2 linked regions of the Pelodiscus sinensis genome follow. Each later gene encodes a partner of the first gene's protein in a complex. Links are inferred from orthologs where the notes say so. Each region holds a gene or a part of one and is shown on either strand. Other genes may lie near its edges.

The links.
Region 2: SMC5 (region 1) and NSMCE2 share a complex: the UniProt entries of both Homo sapiens proteins name them as parts of the SMC5-SMC6 complex. The link is inferred for Pelodiscus sinensis from reciprocal best matches to the Homo sapiens genes SMC5 and NSMCE2.

The regions. Positions count from the first base shown.
Region 1 is NC_134716.1:32,820,363-32,828,038, reverse strand, and holds the start of SMC5 (structural maintenance of chromosomes protein 5), read right to left. Parts: upstream 3,040-7,676; 5' UTR 2,844-3,039; coding exon 2,668-2,843; intron 1-2,667. UniProt on the Homo sapiens protein: Core component of the SMC5-SMC6 complex, a complex involved in repair of DNA double-strand breaks by homologous recombination.
Region 2 is NC_134712.1:18,606,081-18,613,225, forward strand, and holds the start of NSMCE2 (E3 SUMO-protein ligase NSE2), read right to left. Parts: upstream 3,102-7,145; 5' UTR 2,955-3,101; intron 1-2,954. Other genes in the region: WASHC5 (WASH complex subunit 5), read left to right, coding at 6,336-6,521. UniProt on the Homo sapiens protein: E3 SUMO-protein ligase component of the SMC5-SMC6 complex, a complex involved in DNA double-strand break repair by homologous recombination. Is not be required for the stability of the complex.

The sequences.
Region 1 (7,676 bases):
AGGACACACATTACAGGAGATGCATTGTGGAGTCTAAAACCTAATCTATAAATATACAGTGAAGATCTCTCTAACGACAATGAAAATGTGCAAGGTAGGGATGTTCAATATCAGTTAATTGAATAGTCAATTAACTTCAGGAATTCTTATCAGTTAGTCAACTATTCTATAGTCCCCGAGAATAGGGCCAGTGTGAACCGGAACTTAGGAGGCTGCCAGTCCACCTGGCTCCTAATACATTTTAAATGCATACCCATAGCAGGGGTAGTAGGTCCCAGTAGGGGTTCCTTGAAAATATTTTAAGCTGAAAAGAGTTCCATGGCCAAATAAAATCAGGAAACACTGGTCTAAAGAATTAACCTATAAGCTTTTGCAAGGCCAAAGTCATGCTTTAAAGCAGACACTGTAAAGCAGGTACACAACAGGGTTCTCAAGAGAGCCTCTGGACTCACAATCTGGAGGCAAGCATGGTAAGGGGCCTGCCAGGGCATGATCCTGCGGGCGGGGGGGAGGACGCTGGGGCAGGACAGTGACTCACGTGGCTTTCCTCCTCTGCATTCACTACAACCTGCTTCTTGGGAGAACGCTATTCTCCCATCTTGCAGGAGCCTGAGGGGTAGGAGGATAGCAGAGTCTGAAGCCATGCTAGCAGCAGAGGCAGCAGCTAAAAGCTTCTCCCGCTCCTTCATCCAAGTTGTCATGCGAGATATCAGTCTTCTCCAATTCACACAGAGTGATAGGGAGCTGATGTTGACTGAAGGTGGCCAGAAACCTGGGCCTTATGCTGCCAGGCTTTGTGCTGCAGTGACACCAGACCACTTACTGCTGACTTAGCATGGGAAGGAGTCCTACCATGGATGATGGAATAAGGCTGGTCTCCCCAGAAACACTGTGAGAGGGATCAGAGTTCCTCTATGAGAGCTTCATGGAGATATGCAGGGAGGATTCCTTCTCCATCTCCAGATATATTAACAAGCTGTTCTGTGCCCCCATCTTGCATGTAGCACAGTTTATGCATCACATCCAAGGAAAAAAAATTGTGAACTCACCAGAAGTGTCCTCCCCAGAATTATTGCTTGATTGTGAGATGTTCTGGGAGGAGGGAATTGGCTCCAAAGTGATGAAAAGTAGGCGGCGCTCACCACTCACAAGCTGGCTGTTCTCCTTGTCCTCCTCGTCCTCTTCCACCACCTCCCTATCCTCCACTCTGTTGCCCCGTGTGTCTTGGGAGGATTCCACAATCTGGCCTGGGAAGTGGGTCGAGTCCCCCCGTAGGATAACATGCAGCAATTTGTAAAAGCAGCATTTTTACAGCCATGCACCAGAGTCCATTTGCTTCTTATTTTGTAATAGGACTGCCTCAGCTCCTTTATTTTAACTCTGCACTGTTAGGAGTCCCTGGAGTATTTTCTCTCCACCAGGCACCATGCTATCTTAGCATGGTTATCAGTGTTTCTTTTGCTGTTTCAGAAATCAGACAAAATGGATTCTTCACCCTATGCCTCAATGAGGTCCAAGATCTCCTGCACACTCTATGCTTGTGGTCTTTTGCACCTCTGGGAACTGGCACCCTGGGAATTCGAATTTATGGGAATCATGACCAGGTATGCGGATTACTATGAGGTGTGCTCACAACGCTGGCCACATAGGAAATGAAAATTCAAACTTTCCCAGGTCTTTTCCTGTTCACTTGAAGATCAGTAGAGGCACAATTTCTGGCGAGAGCATGGCACTGAGTTGCCTCCTGGAGGACAAAAACCTTGACTTCCTCCATGCTGGATCTACACTAGGAATGTAATAGCTTAACTGCTTAAATAGTTATACAAGAAGCATTAGCTTATCTGTTACCATAACGATTACAGATCAGCTTAGGCTTGATAACGTGGACTCATTTTTTAGAAAAATTGACCTTATGCAGTAAAATTCAGCCTAATCTCCTAGCATAGACAGGCCTTGGTGTTTACTTATTGTGATAAATAAGCCCAGCCCACAACTCCAAACACAGTCCTTTCCCAGCCTGTCTGCAGAGTTCAGCAAACATCCAGGTTGCTTGTCCCCAGCCATAAGGCTACGACTATTTTTTTTCTGGGGATGGGGAACACAGTTCCAAATAAGGCATGAGAAGAACGCGCTAGCCAACACACAGCACCTTGCCCAAGCTGTGTGCAGTGGTGCTGTCCAACACTAAAGGTACCGCCAGTGACACACACCCTGCGCCAGTGACACACACCCTGCGCCAGTGACACACACCCTGCCCACATCTTACAAAAGGCCTGTGAACTGGCTACCATGATCACTGGATGGAGGGGAGGGGGGTCAGGAGCCACATCAGCCACACTGGCCCAGCACAGGCACCACCCAACAGTCCTGCCACCTGTCAGGGGGTGGGAGGAGGGGGCGGACTGGGAGCCGGCTCCCTCTCACTGTGGGAGAGGATAGTAGGGGTAGGACGGCCCTTCCGTGCAGTTTCATCAGCCCCTGGCACAACCCAGCTCCAGGAACCGGGGCCGATCCCCTGACTCCCGGAGCTAGGTCCCCCCCCCCGAGCGCCACATACTCCACACGCTCCTCCTCACGGCCTGGCGGAGCCCAGCGGCCAGGGACTCGCGGTAGCCCCCTGGCACGAGCCACGCCCTCCCCCCGCGGCTCTTGCTGCCCCGCACTCACAGGAAGTTCTCCATGGTGACCCTGACTACAGAGCCCTCCACGAAGGGCGACGGCGGCTGCCCCAGGCCGCTCCCCTCTGGCCTGGCAGCCCCCGAGCCGCGCTTACTGCACCCGGCGCCGCTCCCGCTCGGCCCGCCAGTGACGGCCCCGAGTTTCCGTTTGCCCGGGGCCGCCATCTTCCTTCGCACCAGGCTAAAGCACCGCCCACCATCCCGGCGGCGTGGGGCGCGCGCCGTGAAGATGAAAACGGGCCCGAGCCGCGCGCCCTACTCCCATTGGTTAGACGGCGCGGCCTGCGAGGGGAGGAGGAGGCCATTGGCTCGTGGAACCCCCAGGCGCGACGTCGAAAGCTCATAGGCTGAGAGGTGGAACGGCGGGGCCAATTTGGTACTGTCCGTTCAGCGACAGGGCTGTTTGCCAGCGGGTCTCGCGAGACCGACGGGCGGCCTGTGTTGTTGCTGTGGGCTCTCCGATAGAGCTTCTCCCATAGGGATTTACATGGCGATCTGGCTGGGGTGGTGGGCGCCTTATTTGCATGAAATGGAATCGCAGAGGCGTATTCTTCCCCTCCCCCCGCCTTACAGGGCTAGTTACTGACATCGGGATTCTGCCTTCACGTGTAATGCAGCCACATCAAACTACACCGCCCAGCATGCAGCGCGGCAAGTGGGCCGTCGCGTTCCCTATCAGTAGCTGAGCTTTGCATGCTGGGAGACGTAGTTCTCTAGCGCTCACTGCCCCTCCCACGTTTTGAGAGCTACTCTCTTGTTTGGGGTGGCAGGCTCAGCATTTCGGGAGGTAGGGAAAGGAGGAGACTTGTTCATTCCACCCGCTGCCTTCTCCCAGGGCCAAGGGGGAACCCTGAGACCGCCTGGGCCCATCCCCAACACTGGGTTTCTGTATTAAAGTGGCACCTTGTAGACTAAACAGATGTATTGGAGCATAAACAAAAGACAGGACTATGCAGCACTTCAAAGACAAACAAGATGAAATGTTTCTGGCAGGGGACAGGGTAATAGCTAGTATCTTCCTATTTGCTGACACCAAAATCATTTATACTTTTAATATGGCTAAGTGTGTCATTTTTAAATCACTGATCCCTTCCCTGATATTTGAAGTTGGGAAGCATAAAAGCTTTTGTTACAAAAAATGTATTAAAGTGATTTCAAACTAAGGATTGTGATGTTGTCTTTCCACCAGATGGCAGCATAATCTAGGAATTCTTACACAGAGAAAGAATTTTAAAGACATATACCGGATATACAGAAGTATTAAAAAAAAACCTTCCAGAACATGCATGTTTTAGCTATTTGCAATCAACCAATGAACTGGGGCAGAAATAGCCTTCAAAAGGGAAGCTGATTGATTGAATGGATAATTAGCCAGAGACATTGTTCCTAAAAGTCATTGGTTATTTAGCATCCCTTTCCCCTCCTTTTGAGGAGGATCCTAACCGGATTCATGTTAAGAGTGGGTAAGTATATTATCCCATAACAATTGGAACTGGCAGGACTTCCACCAATGGCACTAAGGTTTCTGCAAGTTCCTTTCCTTACAGCGAAAGTGACATCATCTCAGCCACCAATACAGCTTCCAGCCTTTAAGAACAGGGCAACTAGATTAAGGAGCTACATGAAAGCAACACTGGAGTAACAAAGTGATAAATCAGGCCCTTATGTTAAACCAGGATTAATCTAATACTGAGTCAGAATCTGGTCTAATTTACACTAATGGAAATCCAAATGAACGATTAAACTCAATGTAGTTACTCTGGATTGAAACCAGTATAACTGGTAAGAATTTGTCCCTTTTAAGTAATAAAAATATGCAAAAAGATGAACTAATAGAACACACACATATAAACAGCAAAATAAAGAAGACAGTATTACCAACAACAAAGGGACAATGGAAAGATCTGTCCTGCTCTTAGGATAATGCCTGTTTTATGCAATACAGTTTGTTGTCCATGGTCATTAAAGGGTCATGTGTTGCCCTGAAGCAGTGAATTCAAGAGGCACAAAGTGGCTTACAACCACCTTTTCCCCCCTTTCATTCTTCTGTCTAGTGCAATGGTTTTCAACATTTTTTCATTTGTGTACCTTAAACAATTTCAAATGCAGGTGTGGACCCCTATCTAAATCTTAAAACGTAGTCTGTGGACTCTCCACTGTTCCATGGACCTCTTAGACATAAGTCTGCGGAGTGCAGGTTGAAACCAACTGGTACAGTGCAAAGAAGCAGAAACATCTATCATGTCCTGGTGACGGGAGAAATGATGTTTCTTCCTGCCCTCAGAATAGTGTCTCTCTCTCTAGGGGACAAGTTCTGCCCCCAATTGTACCCATATAAACCTGATACCAAGGGGGTTGTCTACATTAATGCATGCATTCATAAGCATGCATTGTTAAATTCTTCTCTCAGTTGTAAGCATGTATCTTTATCTCCGAGGACTTTTGACTTTTAGCCATTCACTGATCTAATTTAATCCAATTAAAAGATCAGACCTACACTGCTGAAACAGAGATCAGCATGTAACATCATATATATGTATTTTGAAGAGATTTTGCATTTTACTTCATGTATAAAACAAGGTTCTCAAAGATTATTCTGAAGTATCCAGAAATGCAGAGCCCATTGATTATAACCATCTTATTTTCACAGTATTTCCCTGTTACATGATTTGAATTTGTATATAAACTGAGATGGATGGCAAGTGACGAGTTAGCAATATAGCTGATGTACATATCATTAACTCTCTAACATTGCCTAATTCAGAACAACTGAAAACTACATCAACATTCCCTTTTTTATTGTTTCCATTTCCTGTTTCTAAAATCAAAGATGATTTTAGTGTGGAGGCATTTCCCAGGGAGTGGTAGCCAGCTGGGATTGATGACCTTCCACTATCAGGACATCAGTCCTTCACAGCTAATCAATAATCCCCAGGAGATGTGCTGTATTTCAGGAAATATTAGCTAAATGACACATCTTAAGATTTTTGTTTTATGTATGTATTGTATTGAACAAATCCTTTGATTGTGCCGCCAATGTTTAGGGGAAAAAAAAGACATCAAAAGCCAGCTGATTGGAGGCAGAAGTCTACCCAGCAAAAATAAAACCACTGCAGCTGTAAGTCAGAGAGCCTGAGTAAACCAAGTCAGTCTTATGCTATTGGGTAACAGCAGCAGCGTACAAGACATTTGGGTTTGGGCTTGGGCCCAGGCTCTGAGACCCACCCCTCTCACCAGGTTTCAAGAGTCTGGACACCATTCTCAATCTGAATATTTACACTGCAATATTTAGCCTCATAGTGCAAGCTCCCCAAGCTTGAGTCATTTGATCCATGCTCTGAGACTCACTACTGCAGTTCTTTTTTTGCAGTATATACTTACTGATAGAGAGCCAGATCTTCAAGTTGTGACCAAGGAATCACCTTGTGGCAGGTTGGTGGGGGAATGAATTGGACTCTTAAGTGCAAGTCAGAGCAGCCTGAAGTCTGCTCCAATATGCATCAAGGCCATCAGTCCTACGGCAAGCCCGTTCAGGGGGTGGTGCGAAGGATGTGAATGCGCCCTTCGTATAGTTTCTCAAGTTGCCCCAGCCTCCCTCCCCCATGTTTCGGCCGGCCAGGAAAAGGCTGGGGCTGACCCCCACCCAAGAGCAAGGCAGAGGGCAGGGCTGGGCTGCTGTGGCAGGAACAGGGCAGCAACCAGCCCCTCTCATGGCTTGGGGCAGCCTGCCACAGCCAAACCCCAGCCAGACAGGCTGATTCTGCCCCAGTTCTCTCAGGTGGCCGGGGAAGTGGACTGCCAGTCTGCTTCATGATCTATTGGTTGACTGCTTGTGATTGACGAGTCGACAGCAATCGACGTCTTGTGCACCCCAGATATAGGATATAATTGGGGCCTGCTGGGCGACCCACAGTCATTGGGCGACTAGCGCTGCTTGGTAGCAAAGATGGCTACCAGTTAGGACGCCAATATAAAGCAACAATAGACAAACTGATTAAATGTACGTGTTAGCTTTCTATCACTGACAGTTTATTTTGAAATGGCTGTATATAGGCAATTTCACTGCAACTTGTTTGATTCCGTGTATTACTAATATTATTCTTGTTTAAATTAGTTTTTTTTTTAATTGGTTTTTAGGCACAACTGGAATATAACTGGAAAATAAGGAACCATTTCAAATTTAAATGAAAATTATTTAAAAATAAAGCCCTTTATAAAAAACTGTCCCTTATATTGCAGTTGTTCCAATTTTTATTCAAAACAGATTTAAATATCACTCTGGGGAGAAGGAGCAGCAGGAAATCTCTATTTAAAAAAACTAACCTCCACATTTACAAAAAAAGCACACACATACACACCCCCAAAATTCCTGCATATGGGTCTGAAAGGGACTATTACAGAAGCTGGGGATCACTGGGGTATAAGGGACTATCGGCTACTCCTGTCTTCTGGGCCACATACCCTGTAGTCAGCAGCCAGAATAGTGATTGACATAGGAACTGTTAGAGTGTCTACATGCAGACTTCTCCTATAGCTGGACACATTGGCTTTGGGGTTTCTCTGGGCTTCTCTGCAATGCCAAATATACTGGAAGGTCCAGCCCATCATTTTTTTCTGAAAATTCTGAACTTGTCTGAATAGCCTGCCAATAACAAGAGAACACCATGTTTGATATGGAGCAATAAAATAAGACATTATTCAAAATTACATTTTATTAGCTGTTTTTAAATTATCAAACTAGCCATCTTGTATACAAACACGCATATAATGTCTTAAGAGTTAACAGGTTATGTGAGTGCTGTTTCTTTTTAATATAAATGCAAAACAGTTGTGGTTGGGTAAAGTATATAAAAATTGTGAGCATAGAAACTGACTTGTTTAAAAAAAATGAGAACTGCGGTCCAAATGAAGTGCATTTCCTCTACTGCATACAAACCAATAGCAATATATTTTAATATAGTTTTAATTTACACTGAATCACACTGGAACATTGATGGA
Region 2 (7,145 bases), on another chromosome or scaffold:
AGGTTGCAGGAGCAGGGCCAGCAGCTCTCACCAGCTCCTCTGTGGCAGGGAAGCCTCCTCTCCAGGAGCAGAGCCGACAGGGACTGGTAACCCCACTCTCAGGGAGGCTTCACTGTAGGCTCTGCAGTATAAAGCTTATTAGACCATCTTTTTAGAGAATCTTTCTAAGCAGCCACTGTTCTTGTCCGTATGTCATGGGATTTTCAACATACCGCTCCTGTGCACGTGCCAATGCGGCCTGGCTCAGTGCAGCACCTCATGGAGTAGAGACAGTGGGAGCTGAGCCTGCAGAACACAAGGAGAGGGGAGGGAAAGGGAAAGGAGGGGACTGAGCCATCAGAGCATGGGGAGAGGAGACGGAGGGGGCTGAGTCTCCAGATCACCGCGGTGGAAGCAGAGCTGCCCCTGAGCCGAGATGGGTGGCTCTTTCCTTCTGGCCCCTGAGCACCGGGCGGGCAAGAACCTTGCAGTTTTTACTAGTGGAAACACACTATATTTAAGACCAAAAAGACAAAAATATTTAAACTTTTTAAAATCTCAGCAGTTCCACACACTGCGGATTCTGCAGTATAAAGTTTAAAGTATATATATAAAAAACACTGTGAGAAGACAATCTTTCTAAAAGCGCACCAAAAGACTAAAAATAAAGTTTTCACCTAGCAATTTAGGAGAAAGATTGGATGGCTAAATATGATTCAAGGTAGTTGCTAACTGTTAGCCATCCAATCTTTCTTCTAAATTGCTAGCAAACAGAGGCTAAGGACACCCACTGCATGGGGTTGCTTCCCTTTCCTTTTCCAATTCTAATATATCGTTTTTGAGAGGGGATGACCAAATCTACATGCAGTATTAAAGATTTGGACATACTATGGATTTATACAGAGGTATTAGGATATTTTTGTTCTATTATTAAGGTTGAGATTTTGCCATAGAAATTTTTCAAAGTCACAGACAGGTAACAGGCAACAAACAAAAATTCATAAAATCCATGTCTGTAAGGTGGGGAACCTGACAATCCGAGATCCACCCTGTTGGTGGGGTGACTTAAAGCTGCTTCAGACCCAGGAGCAGGGGTGGAGGCTGACAGCTGCTTCAACACTCCTGGTGTGGTGCAGCTGTAGTCAAAGAAGCCACATGGGTCCATTAAAGTCATGGAATCCATAACTTCCATGACAAAATTATATCCTTATTTACTATCTTTCCCTTTTCTAATGATGCCTAACATTGTTACCTATTTTGACTGCCTGGACATTGAACATGTTTTCTGTGAACTATTCACCATGATTCCTTGATCTCCCTCTTGAGGTCTAAATTAGCTAGTACAACTCATCACACTGTAGGTATAGCTCAGATTATGTTTTCCAACAGCATTACTTTGTGTTTTATGTCATTGCATTATTCAGATATTTATGCTTATACTGCACTGCTTTCTAGCTGCTGCCAGAAGGATGAGGAGTGTGTTTCTGACACTGTAGTTTCCTTAGTAAGGATGTTAAGAAGAGGGTAATTGACTCATCATAGTTGATACAATTTGCCTCTGATAGAGGCAGTGTGGGTGGGGGGACAGGTAGCACTGCAGAGACAGTGCTGGGGGAACTAGCTTTTAAGCAATCCAAATTGCTCTGAATCAGTGACCTGTCCTCTTCATTATTTACCAGGACCCCAATTTTTGTATAATTTACAAACTGTATCAATGATACTATATTTAAAAGGCAGAGCTGCAGCAGTGGACCCAGCACAAGATGGGATTCAGCAATCCTAGCTCACGCCGGGTCCTGGACCACCACACCTCTAATTTTTAAATGTAGTTAAGAAGCTCTGCCTTTTAAACGTAGTAAGTATAAATTGTATTGAGTACATGACTAGTCAATTACCTGCTACCTAACACATCCTTACTCTCAAGGCCACCCTCCCAGACACTCTGTGCTCCCCTTTGTTCTTCTGTCTTCATTGTCCTAATGCTGATCCCCAACCCCATCTCTCCCCATCCTCCGCAACCCGATGGGGGAAGAGTTCCAGCTGAAACATCTGAAACATGCAAGTCTGCCATCTTGGCCTTCCTATCCTGGGGCCACACCACAGGCTCTGCCTGGCAGGCATGGAGGTGACAGTAGCACTGCCACTTGGCTGGGGTGGGCAAAAGGGCACCCCTTGCTGGGCCAGGACATGGAGTGAGAGACTTCACATGTTCTCCCCCCCCAACCCCTCTGCCTGCCCGTAGGCCAAGCAGAGCTTGGGGATGGAGGGAAGCGTGCAGTCTCCTCCCACCCTGTAAGGGTTAGAGTCAACTGCCAGGCCCCCTTGTGGGGCAGGGGCAGGGAGCAAGAAATTTCCCCATGTTTGCCCTGCTCTCATGCCCTCATTGACCGGAGGGCAGGGGGAGCAAGCAAAGCCTCTCTCTCCCTGTCCCCACCTTGCAAGGGGCGCCCTTTTGCCCACTGCCAGGGACATGGGTGCCTAGAGGGAACAGCTGGTGGTTCTCTATGGGGGGGGGGGGGTGAGGGCAAAGACTTCACAGGGTCACCCAGGCCAATCGGGGTCTGTGGACAGGAAAGCAAGAAGTGTCCTGGCCCCTCCCCTTCCACAGTGGCCAGGGGCCACTTCAAAAATTTCTGAAGTGCCTCCCGTCTAAAATTATTGCCCACCCTGCTCTAGACTGACCCATGCTGGAGGGAGCTGCAAGAGATGCCTCAGGGGCAACAGATGCATCTTGTTAGGGAGCAGCCTCTGGAGTCTAACCTAAGTGGGGAGCATCACACACACACACACACACTACACTCCTAAACACACACACACACCCTCTCACACACACACACACACAGCTGAGTGCTTGAGGGAGGCCTGCCAGCCTCTCCCCCGCCCCCTCATTGCTGGCTGCTTCCCCCTCTAGCAGCAGCCGCCCGCCAACCCCTACTCTGCCCGTAGCTCTGGCGGGGCCGCAGCTGCCCCCCTACCTGGTGCCAAGCCCCGAACCGGCAGCGGCAACAGGCCGCGCTCGCCTCCCCCCCCACCGTTGGCGAGGTCTCTCCGCGGCGCAGGCGGGCCGCGGGCAGGAACCGACTCATCAGCCGGCGCCGGTGCACATGACCCAGGGCCGCCGGCGCGGGGTAGGCGGGCCGCTGCGCGGAGAGCTTCCGTGTGGGGCGGCCGGGCCTGCAGTCGCCTGCGTCGGCCTGAGAGGCCTGGGGGAGCCCGGCCAGCAACCGGGGCGCGACTGGCTCAGTAAGGGGGGTTGACAGGCCCTGGTCTTTCTTGGGGGGCTCATATTTGGGGTGGAGGGGGGAAGCAGGGGCTCCACCCACCCCTGAGGAGGCGGGTGCTTTGACTTTGGGGGGCGGTTAATTCTGGGGTGGTCCTGTGCTGAGGGGGTGCTATGACTTTGGGAGATGCTGTGACTTTGGGGGCGGTTAATTCTGGGGTGGTCCTGCGCTGAGGGGGTGCTATGACTTTGGGAGATGCTGTGACTTTGGGGGCGGTTAATTCTGGGGTGATCCTGTGCTGAGGGGTGCTATGACTTTGGGGGCAATTAATTCTGGGGTGGTCCTGCGCTGAGGGGGTGCTATGACTTTGGGGGGCGGTTAATTCTGGGGTGGTCCTGTGCTGAGGGGTGCTATGACTTTTGGAGATGCTGTGACTGTGGGGGCGGTTAATTCTGGGGTGATCCTGTGCTGAGGGGTGCTATGACTTTGGGGGCAATTAATTCTGGGGTGGTCCTGCGCTGAGGGGGTGCTATGACTTTGGGGGGCGGTTAATTCTGGGGTGGTCCTGTGCTGAGGGGGTGCTATGACTTTGGGAGATGCTATGACTTTGGGGGGCGGTTAATTCTGGGGTGGTCCTGCGCTGAGGGGGTGCTATGACTTTGGGGGGCGGTTAATTCTGGGGTGGTCCTGCGCTGAGGGGGTGCTATGACTTTGGGGGATGCTGTGACTTTGGGGGCAGTTATTTCTGGGGTGGTCCTGCGCTGAGGGGGTGCTGTGACTTTGGGGGACAGTTAATTCTGGGGTGGTCCTGTGCTGAGAGGGTGCTATGACTTTGGGGGATGCTGTGACTTTGGGGGCGGTTATTTCTGGGGTGGTCCTGCGCTGAGGGGGTGCTGGGGATTAGTGTGGGGCTGGCTGTGCTGGTGGGAAAGTGGGGGGTGTTTGTCAAGCACTCTCTGGGCATTTCTCTGGAGGAGAGGATACCGCGCAAGTGCCTGGTGGCTGCGGATTTGGTGCAAAGGAAAATGGTTTGCGCGCAGGGGCGGGCAGCGAGTGGGGCTGAGGTGTATTCCAACGCACATGCTGGAGATCACAGCTGGGTGAATGCAAATGACTTCTTGGGTATCCCCTTGAAACATACTGTGCAAAAGCGATAGAAATGTAGCCGTGTTAGTCTGGTGTAGCTGAAACAAAAGCAAAAGCCTTTGACTGCTAAAAGCAGCCTTTAATAATTACACCAAAATGAGGGCCTCTCTCTGTCCCAGGGAACAAGACCTAACCGCTTCTGCGAATTATTCCTTTTGGACAACTGTCAGGCTGACTTAGAAATATTTTAATGTGATATTCATTTAAAATCAAGAAACCATTTTTTTAAGAACAGGATGAGGAATAATTTAAAGCCCATTCATGCTCTCCTTGATTTAGGCCCTGGTCCTGCAATAAGTACTGTACAGGCCAACTTCTGCACCCATGCAAAATTCATTCCAGGGCTGTGTACTTAAGAGAAAGATTGGACCCTTACTAGGTGTGTTGTAGCAGAGTGGCTTTAAAGGAGAAGCTTTCAACTTGCATTTAGCTCAACATTTCTTAAAATAAGCTTTTGTGAGTCTAATATAAATACAAAAGTTTCCACAGATGGTTTTTAAAAATGAAAACAGATGTCTTTGACATTGTTGCAGTAAATATCTCACAGGGAAAGTGATCATAAATATAATTGCCTTTGATTTCCATTGGCCAAGCTGAGAGACATGCAAAAATGAAACAAATTGTTTAACTGAACTGTTTGCAAGCTTAAGACATAATTTTCATTTCTTATTCATACTTTACATATGATTGTATTGACTGAAATTGTATGAAGAAGGAGGTGCTTGCAACACTTGTGATTTTGTTTTAAGAAGCCTTGTTTGCGCTCTGTGTTTGCTCCAGTGACAACTGTAGCTCAGGCTGTGTTTCTGGATACCTACCTTCTCTTCCTACCTCTGTCACTTACTTGTTTTGTCATCTTGGGCAAGTAATATAACTTTCCTGTGGCTCAGTTAACTTATTCCTGTGGGTCAGATAATTTATCTATAAAATGGCTATATTTATTGTGACAGGTTTGATCATAGAGAATACAGAAACGATACATGCATATATAGATTATACACATTCAGTGGATTACATGCTTTTCAAATAGAATTATATGCTATATATTGCACAAATCATATTCAAGTTAGGCATATTCATATTCAAAAGCATATTTCTGTAAAGTATATGGAAGTGCAACTTCACATTTATGTTTACCCCTTTTGTAAAAGAGGACTACATATTAGATAAATATTTCAGCTATATTGGAAAGAGATTGTTACTGGTTTCCATTAGTATTAAAATACATTGTGCAATATAGTACAGTGAAATATACCAATACCACCTGGGAGTAAAGCAGCAACATATTTGTTTTCTTATAATGTTCTCTTTCTTTGGGGAGAGAGGGCCTAGGAGTTCCCTAGCACATAGAGGCACATAGACAAATATAAACACTGCAGCTGGTTAAGGTGTTCTTGGGCTCTTTTTAACTGGGAAAATTAAGATTTCTGACTTGGAGAAAGATCACTATGGCTTGGAAATTTAACCACAATACAAAAGGTGTCTGTGTAGCAATGAATAAATGACCCTGAACTGTAATTAGCTGTCATTGATCTATGCTGTAGCATATTTGCTTGTGTTGTGTTGTAGATCTAAACTGCTCTGTGCAATCCTTGTGTCAATGTTTACATTTTGCTGCAAGGCCTGACACCTGCTCTGATTATTTTGCCCTTTAGTAGCTATCCAGTAAATTTTTAATCTAATCTCTGAGATGATTAGGTAACTGCTGTTTAGATGCAGAAGATGCACTACCGTGTTTATTTTTTCATCTGTCATCTAATCACAATTTCTGGAGAATATAGAGTTCTGTTACTATAGATTTTCCAGAGTTGCTTTAATTTCTTGTAGATTGAGTCATTTAAAATATGCTGAATATGCAATTTGTTTTTACAGGAATTTCAAATGGACCTCATATATTTCCAGTTACACTTCTTTCTCCAAATGACATGAAGATTGAAACTCAGAAAGAGACTGCAATAATATCACTACTCAGTCACAATCATCTTCAAGATGGTTGATTTTCTAGCTGAAAACAATCACTGTGGCCAGGCAATTCTTCGGATTGTCTCTTGTGGAAATGCTATCATTGCAGAACTTTTGAGACTGTCTGAGTTTATTCCTGGTGTTTTTAGGCTCAGAGACAAAGCTGATCAACAGAAGTATGGGGATATCATATTTGATTTCAGTTACTTTAAGGTAAATATTACTTTGCTCTTGTTAAATCTCTCTCTGAGCCATCATTTTCTTACAGTAGCACTATTTCTTTAGGGTGTTTTAGCCTTTTGGCATGCTTGTGTTAAACCTGTTGGTCTTGAGTAATTAATTTGCATAAGAATGGCCATACTGGGTTGAAACAAAGGTCCATCTAACCCAGTATCTTCCAGCAGTGGCCAACACCAGGTGCCCTAGAGGAAATAAACAGAACAGATAATCATCAACTGACCCATCCCATTGCTATCAAACATGAAAATTTAGTAAAATGTATTTTATACTGAATTTAGTATTGGCAATACATTCAGCCAACATGAGGTTACAGTTTGGATATGCCTGCATATTAGTTCTTTATTACCTGAGTAAACTAAATCCAGTAATTTCATATAATATTTTTCCACTGCCTTGTTAGTTCCTGAGAGTCAGAAACAGAGTATATCAGATCTTGTGTTTAGACAACATAAATTTGATTTTGAATTTCATTGGATCCATCAGATCATTTTGAAAGAAGGATGTGAGGGGGGAAAAGAGGGGTATAAAATGCATACTTACAGAGGAAACCCTTCCCCCAAAAAACTCAAAAGTTGTTGCGTTCTCCCATTGCAAAAA